2 linked regions of the Solanum lycopersicum genome follow. The protein of the gene in region 1 binds, or shares a complex with, the protein of each later gene. Links are inferred from orthologs where the notes say so. Each region holds a gene or a part of one and is shown on either strand. Other genes may lie near its edges.

Region 1 (3,929 bases):
ATCCACATAACTCAAAGCATTCGAACAAAAGGGTAAGAGGGTAATTCCAGAAACAATAATACAACTCCATTACCAGTGGCAAAAGCCCTGTGAAATGCTGAGATCCTGAGATATGAAGCAGCCCTTGAAGCCCACAACTTTGTAGCCATTTTTTTCTTTTAGGAATCTGCTTTGGATGTAGAGCTGTGCCAACACTTGTATTGTATGTATTAGGGGAAAATGGAAAATAAAAAGTACAGTAGAGTTATAGAAGAAAGTGGAAGCAATAAAAATAGGGAAGACAATGGTGGCTGGTGGGTTGAGGTGTCAACAAAGTTGTTTAGCAAAGTTGGTGAGTGTCACTTGGAATTTTTTGTTGGTAGGTCATTCCATGAGGTGGGTCTCATGGAAGATATCCTGTTCCCTACCTTTTGTTTATACATTTTTTCTTTTGAGAAATATTAATTGGGAGTTCTTTTTTCTTTTTTTTCCCCCCTTTTAATAAGATATATAGAAAATGATTACAAATTATTTACTATTTAGTAAGATATACTTACTAATAATTGTAATTACTATAGTCATTTCATAAGATATATTCACTAATAATTGTAATTAGTTTAGTTACTTTTTAATGCAAATTCGAATTTAGTTAGGCTCTAATATATATATCGAATATTGAATTGGATGAAAAATAAAAAAGAAACTTTAGTGCACTTTAAATATATAACTTATTTGTAATATTTAGTTTATGAGAACTTGTCTTTTTTATTTGAGTTTTTTAATATATACTTTTCTTTTAAATTATTTAAATATATTTAGGTTGATGAAATTTCATTTAAGTATTTAACCTTTTTTTTCTTAGAAAATATATAATTTTTGAGAGATAATGTATCATTAGGTTGTAGTAGTGAAGTCGAGGAGTAAAGAGATAGGTGACATGTCAAAGAAGTATTAGAAAGAGGTGATTAGGCAAATATGACATATTTTCAACTTATGAATAATATGACCTTAAGATAATATGGTATGAAAGTCGCGTACGATGATAGAAGATTAGTAGATAGTGAAGAATAATTTTTTCTATTTGAGGGGTTAGACTTTTGATATATATCATTATTTGTTGTATAGTGTGTTGCTTATCGCACTATTTTTATTTTTATTTTGTTTTTTTAACATAGGTTTTGCATTGCTTCCTTTATTAGTTGCTACATTTTCTACTTTGTTTTATGTACTTAGATTTGTTGCTGTTGAGCTAAGAGCTTTTCTCAAAACAACCTTTTAATCTTAACGTGGTGGTGATAAAATTTGCACACAATCTACTATTTTTGCACCTTAAAATTGAGCATAAAATATCAAAAATTAAACTATTGAATCGAACCAAATTTTTTGGTGATTTGATATTCGATAACTCGAAATTTAATATGCTATCCGAGAGTAAAATTTTAGAATTATGATATTTGGGTTTGAATTTGGTATTAGACATTAAAATCATTTGATATTTGATATTTTCTTGATTATTTACTTAATGAAGTCACTATCAACATGTTTATTATTCATTAGGTAATTTGCCACGCTTTTGCACCGTCATAAATAATAATTGCATTGAACTTGCAAATAATTTTTAACTAATATCATAATTAAAAATAATGGAAAATAGGTTATTAAAAAAATATTAGCAATATTCCAACATGAATTTGATTATTTGTCATTATCACATAACTCAAGAACCTCTAATGAATACATTATTTACGAAATAATAAATCATTGGCTCTTTAATCAACATTTAAAAGAAAAATAAAGAAGAAAATAAGAATATATATACAAAGATGTTTCGTAGAAAAGGAAACAATTAAGTTGCATAGATTATACAATTGTGATATATGTCTGAGGAGAAAATTCAAAAAATTGTTAACATATTCAAAAAAAAAAATTAAGTTTGAACATGAAAACAATTATAACTTTTGAACTTGCATAATGAATTTCTTCAATTGATAAATCAGAAATTTCATATCCATGTAAAAATAAATAATATGTAAGCTTACATATAGCACTTTAAGTTATAGAATTTAATATAGAATATCAAAATATGAATTATTGGAACTGAGTACAATAATTATTTTCTACACAATGAATATATGTACTAAATGTGTATATGCTCAATATAATCGGATACAATAACTTTGCAGAAACATAAATAATAGAGTTTAAAACATGTATTAAAAACAACAATCTATATCATATGCATAAATTAATGAGTATAAAAAACATACCAGTATATGTAAAAATAGAATGAAATAAAAAGAAAAAAATCGAGTCCACTGAATGCATAATGTTCACTTATTCCCCTCCAATACCACAAGTTTAAAGAATTACATTATCTAAGAATGGAACGTTTTTTATTCACTAACTTATTGATACAAAATAATGGTGTTAGTAAGTCACTCAACAGGAGCAAAACACAATAATATTTAACTTTGCGGAAGTAGAAAAAGAAGATCAAATCTTTTGTTGTTTTAAAATGAGAGGAAATTCCTCCATTTATAGACAAAAAAGTGTAGTGTGAACCAATGTTTATTGTGTCTTATCGAAAATGTTACAATTATCTGAAAAAATTGCAACCCTTGAGAAAAATCAACCTTTCATAAAAGTCGCAGCTTTTCATAAAGTTGCAATTCTTCATTAAAGTCACAATTTTTGAAAGAAGTCGCAACTCTTCATTAAAGTCAGACTTTTCATAAAAGTCGCAACTCTTCAGTTAAGTTGCTACTTTTCATAAAAGTCAAATTCTTTTTTATAAAAGAGGAAGGCTAGTTTTGGAAATAAATAATTTTGAAAGGAAATTCTTACTTGTGGTGGCGCCACGTAGGCGGGCCTAGAGTTCTCTTTTATATAAATATATGATTAGTACAAGTTCAATGAGAAAGTAAAAGAATAAACATACAAGTCAAATACATATGTCTTTTAATTGAATCAAATTGCTTTTTTTGATGTCTTCTTGCTTGTTGATTTTCTATTATATCATGTCTCCAAATTAAAAAGAAAATTAATTGAAAAAATAGTATTAACTTCATAATACAATCAGCTACAACTTCAATACAGTATAACCGAGTATCGCACAAAATTAAAACTTAATTTGCCGATTATCAAATTACCAAATTGAATTTTAAAAATTTGAAATTTTGATATCTACTTTCAACTACCAATGATATTAACAAACTCAAAATTTGAAACCGAATATCGAATGCCAACCCCTATCAGAGACTCCACTAGTCGAAATTCACCACATATGTTGTTTTGTTGATTATAAAATATAAAATGTGGATTTGTAATTAAGCTATAGTATAGAGGTGTTTAAGTGTAATATAGGAAAAGTATTAGGCCTCGTCCCCTAAACAAGTCCAATTTTCTGGGAGAAGAGAGACCAAACCCTTATCGTCACTGCTCATTTGACTGCTAAACCCTAATCCTCCGACGGCGGCGGCAATGAAGGATAAGAAATTGATAGCCCTAGGGTTCGAGGGTTCCGCCAACAAAATTGGCGTCGGCGTAGTAGCAATCGACGGCACAATTCTTTCTAATCCACGACACACCTACATAACGCCACCAGGCCAAGGTTTTCTCCCCCGTGAAACCGCCCAGCATCACCACCAACACATCTTACCGTTAGTAAAATCCGCTCTAGAAACCGCCGGAGTAACTCCCGATGAAATTGACTGTATCTGCTACACAAAAGGCCCTGGGATGGGTGCTCCACTGCAGGTTTCGGCAGTGGTTGTACGTGTTCTATCTCAGCTATGGAAGAAACCTATTGTTGGGGTGAACCACTGTGTTGCGCACATTGAAATGGGTCGAATCGTAACCGGGGCGGTTGATCCGGTTGTGCTATACGTGAGTGGTGGAAATACTCAGGTTATTGCGTATAGTGAAGGACGGTATAGGATTTTTGGGGAGAC
Region 2 (3,768 bases), on another chromosome or scaffold:
CATATATATATAAATAAAAAAAAATAGGAAAATCAATTCGAGGGGTAAAAATTAAAAATCATGATAATTCTAAAGGCAAAGGCATTGTCCATTCAATACTCAATATTTATACGGGGACTTAGCTGAACTCAAATTCACATACTTTCTATGTTCTTATTTATTTGTCTATTTTTTATTTGACATATCTATTAAGAAAATAATAATTAATATAATAAGTTTTTATTTTATTTTTTAAAAATTAATTAATTAAAAATATAATTAAAAAATTGTCTTTTTTTGATAAGTTAAAATGGATAAGTATAAAAGAAAAATTAGATAAGTAAAAAGGGACCGAATGAGTAGTATATTAAAGGGCAACTTTCACATATAGCAAATAAAAAATTCATATTTGTATGCTATAGCAAAGTTTGCATAATTGTGCTCCATAGCAAACATAGAAACTGTATAATTCGCTATACATATACAGTTAAAGCAAATTGTATAAAACGAAGTGTATAAAACAAAAAAGAGAAAGACACTTGGGCAGAGAACTGTATAAAAATGAAGTGTATAAAACGAATTGTATACAATTTGTTATTGTATAAAATGATAAAGAGAGAAAGACAAAAGAGACTTGACAAGGAATATACAATTGAATCGAATTGTATAAAATGAGAAAGAGAGAAATTAGATACAATTTGAAAAGTGTATAAAACGAGAAAGAGAGAAAGACAAAAGAAAATGGGCAGGGGAGTATTTTATTGTATAATTATAACTTATAAGTGTATAGGACGAAAATATATGTACTTGAATGTGTATATACAATTTTTTCGCGTTTTATACAAATAGAAACACAATTTATACATTTTGCTTCTGTTTGTGTAAGTGAGAAAAGTGAGGGTGACGAGCTAGATTTGGAAGAGTGACGAGCAAGATTTGAAAGAGGAGAGAGAGGGAAACAAAAATATATGTATTTATACAATTCTCTGCTTTATACAATAAGAAACAATTTTTATACACTTGTGTTTGTATAAAAAGTGAAAAAGCGAGCGAGAGATTGGAGGAGAGTGGCGAGCGAGATATTTGGGAGAGAGGCGCTTGACAATTTTTGCAAACGTTTGTAATGGAGCACAATTAAATCAAACTTTAGCTACTCCATTTATTTTAGATTATTAGTTTGCTATTATATACAATTTTCTCTAAACGACCTATTTCTGATTCACACTAATAAGGATACCCACTTACTCTTTTGCGGGTCGGGTTTATAGATTTTGGTACTTTTTCACTAAAACCCAAAATTCAAAAACCCTAATAATCAACCAATAATTTCAACTGCTGTACAGCAACTGAAGGAATGGATGGTGTGGCGTCTCCATGGGACTTCAACTGGTAATTTTCTCTTCATCTTACAACTAAGAAATCCATATTATTTCAAGAAAATTATTTTGTATTTATGTTATGTGAACAAATGTATATTAAAAAGATTAATTTATGCTCTTGCAAATTTTTTTTCTTGGTTTTAATCATTCATTTCAACATACCAATATGGTTTTACATGGTTCCTTATCAAAAAGACTTCTCCTTTTTAATGTTTTCTTCTTCTTTTTGATGGTTTAAGGGGTAGATGAGGGGGTTAGCTGGTTTTTTAAGTATTGGGTCATAGTAGAGCTTTCTCTGTTTATTTTTAATGTATTGTACATTGAGACACTTGTAGAGAAGCTTGACACTGAGCTAGGAATGAACTTGTGGTGTCGAGACTCTGCGTAAATTGAATGTTAGGTATTAGCTTTGTTGGTGGAGAGCATATGGAAAGTTTCATACTGAATTGTGCGAGCAGAAATTTCAATTTCAGGGACATGTTGTGTGTAATTGTCCCTAATTTGTCTAATCTCTTCTTGATGCAAACCTATCTTCGTATCTTCGTTTACTTAATGTATTCTATTGTTGCTTGTCCGCTTTGTCTTGTGTGAACTATACATCTCCATCTACTGTTCCATTTGGCAATGAAATGGGACTTCATGCATTTTTTAAAATCAAGAATCGGAACTGAAGAACAGAGTAGCAAATTTGTGACATCTAGACACTAGCAATAATGAGTTACACTCTGTGTTAATGTATTTGTGATTTGTATTCCTTGGCGAAGGAGTGAATTTTATGAGGTATACTTTATGCAGCAACTTGGAAGTAGATCTTGGGTCTGAAGAAAATGCTCATATTGTCTATACTGCATTGGCTGTTGATAAGGAGGTATAGTGATACTGAGGTTTTTTATTCATTTGTAGCATCTGTTTCGATCCACCAGTGCTCCAATGTTTGTACAATTAAAATTGCAGTTGCAGCCTGATAAAGTGAAGAGGCATATGTCTGTATCTAACGGGAAGCTTTCAGTGTGAGCACATGCTTCTTCTACTCAATTGAATTTATTGAAACCAGTTGATTTTTGAACTTCCAACTGTAGTTAGGAGTTATTGTTGTCAATATTTTCTTATACGTTCAGGATATATATATGTATACGTGTGTGTGTATGTGTGTCTGATGGTAATTTATGGATATCTTCATACTTCATCAAAATTTATACATATCTTCATGTTGTATTTGCTGAAAAAGCACCCAAAAGTACAAGTTCTTAAGAACATAATTGTAATGTGCTAGTTGCTTCATTTTTACTCCTATCATCTATAGAAATCAAGCACTGATATTGCGCTATAGTTTTGATGATACAAACAATGTTTTGTTTGCGTGCCTGAGCCATAAATTGACAGGCAACAGATGTAGTAATGTAAGTGTTCTTTGTGAACTCTTCCTTGTTTGCTGAAATATACTTGGCACCAGTCAGTTGTCTTTATAGCAAATTTCCTAGTCAAAGCAAACCTTGTTCAAAGTGACGCTTCTTCCTCCCCCAGCTTTCTGATTAGCAATGAAGAATGTCACTCGTCTTTACCAAAAATTTCTGAATGCTGAGTGTTCAAGTTATTATACTTGCTATTTCTGCATCATTCAGCTCTCTGAACTGTTCCTAATGTTTTTACAGGAATTTTGAGGCTGTTGAAGCAAGATTTCTTCGTGCATCATTTAGTGCATTTGTAGATGTACTCACACTCACAACAAAAACCATTGAAGAATTTGGTTCAAAGAAGGAATAGAGACCTCTATTGGATATTTTTAGACATTGTTCATTTATTGATGTGCCATATAACAGGAAGCCACTTCTTGTTTGTAATTGACAGTGGTATTCATTGCCAACTGATAATTTAACTTCGGATTATATTCATCTTTATAATTGATATCATGTAATCTAGAACTACAAGAAGCACTAAACAAATATGATAAAAAGCTATAAACTGATCTTCATATAATAAAAAAGCTATAAACTACTGATATATATAACCTTTGACGTGCAGCAAAGTATCAGATGATATTCTCATTCCTTATGCTTCAATCATTCCATCAGATTTTCGTCATATATGTTTTGGTGTTTCTAAATGCAAGGGTAAAAGGAAGATCAGGGAACCAGAGACATGTTTTCAGTTTCAACCACAAATAACTCTCATAAATTTCAATCCAAATTTCGTCCAAAACGACCTTAAAATCCTTGCTGTATTACTTTATAATCTGTCAAGACCATGTCCAGGACAACTAATCAAGTCTGCCAATACGTTGCCAAAATTTAATATACAATTGAGGAAAGGTAAGCAGTGCACTAATACAAAAAGTATGTCCCTGATTTTCCGTTTAACAACTGGAGAAGCAACAATAAAGCATGTTCCTGGTTTACAGCTGCAAGTGCTA

The links. Proteins that work in one complex are often made in the same cells at the same time.
Region 2: the proteins of uncharacterized protein (region 1) and uncharacterized protein are in contact, whole or in part, in a cryo-EM structure (PDB 8K20), measured with the Arabidopsis thaliana proteins. The link is inferred for Solanum lycopersicum from reciprocal best matches to the Arabidopsis thaliana genes AT4G22720 and AT5G53045. Residues at the interface, in NP_194003.1 of Arabidopsis thaliana: Arg47, Leu54, Leu58, Gln91, Val92, Ile95, Arg98, Val99, Leu100, Gln102, Leu103, Ile319, Glu320, Asp321, Ser322, Phe324; in NP_850925.1 of Arabidopsis thaliana: Ile33, Thr36, Ser37, Val40, Asp41, Lys42, Ala78, Asp81, Val82, Leu85, Arg88, Thr89, Ile90, Phe93.

What each region holds. Positions count from the first base shown.
Region 1 is NC_090801.1:54,824,854-54,828,782, forward strand, and holds the start of uncharacterized protein, read left to right. Parts: upstream 1-1,129; 5' UTR 1,130-3,459; coding exon 3,460-3,929. Other genes in the region: glycine cleavage system H protein 2, mitochondrial, read right to left, coding at 74-149.
Region 2 is NC_090802.1:49,623,286-49,627,053, forward strand, and holds uncharacterized protein, read left to right. Parts: upstream 1-1,237; 5' UTR 1,238-1,333; coding exon 1,334-1,368; intron 1,369-2,153; coding exon 2,154-2,226; intron 2,227-2,261; coding exon of another isoform or gene 2,262-2,312; coding exon 2,313-2,368; intron 2,369-3,010; coding exon 3,011-3,122; 3' UTR 3,123-3,268; downstream 3,269-3,768.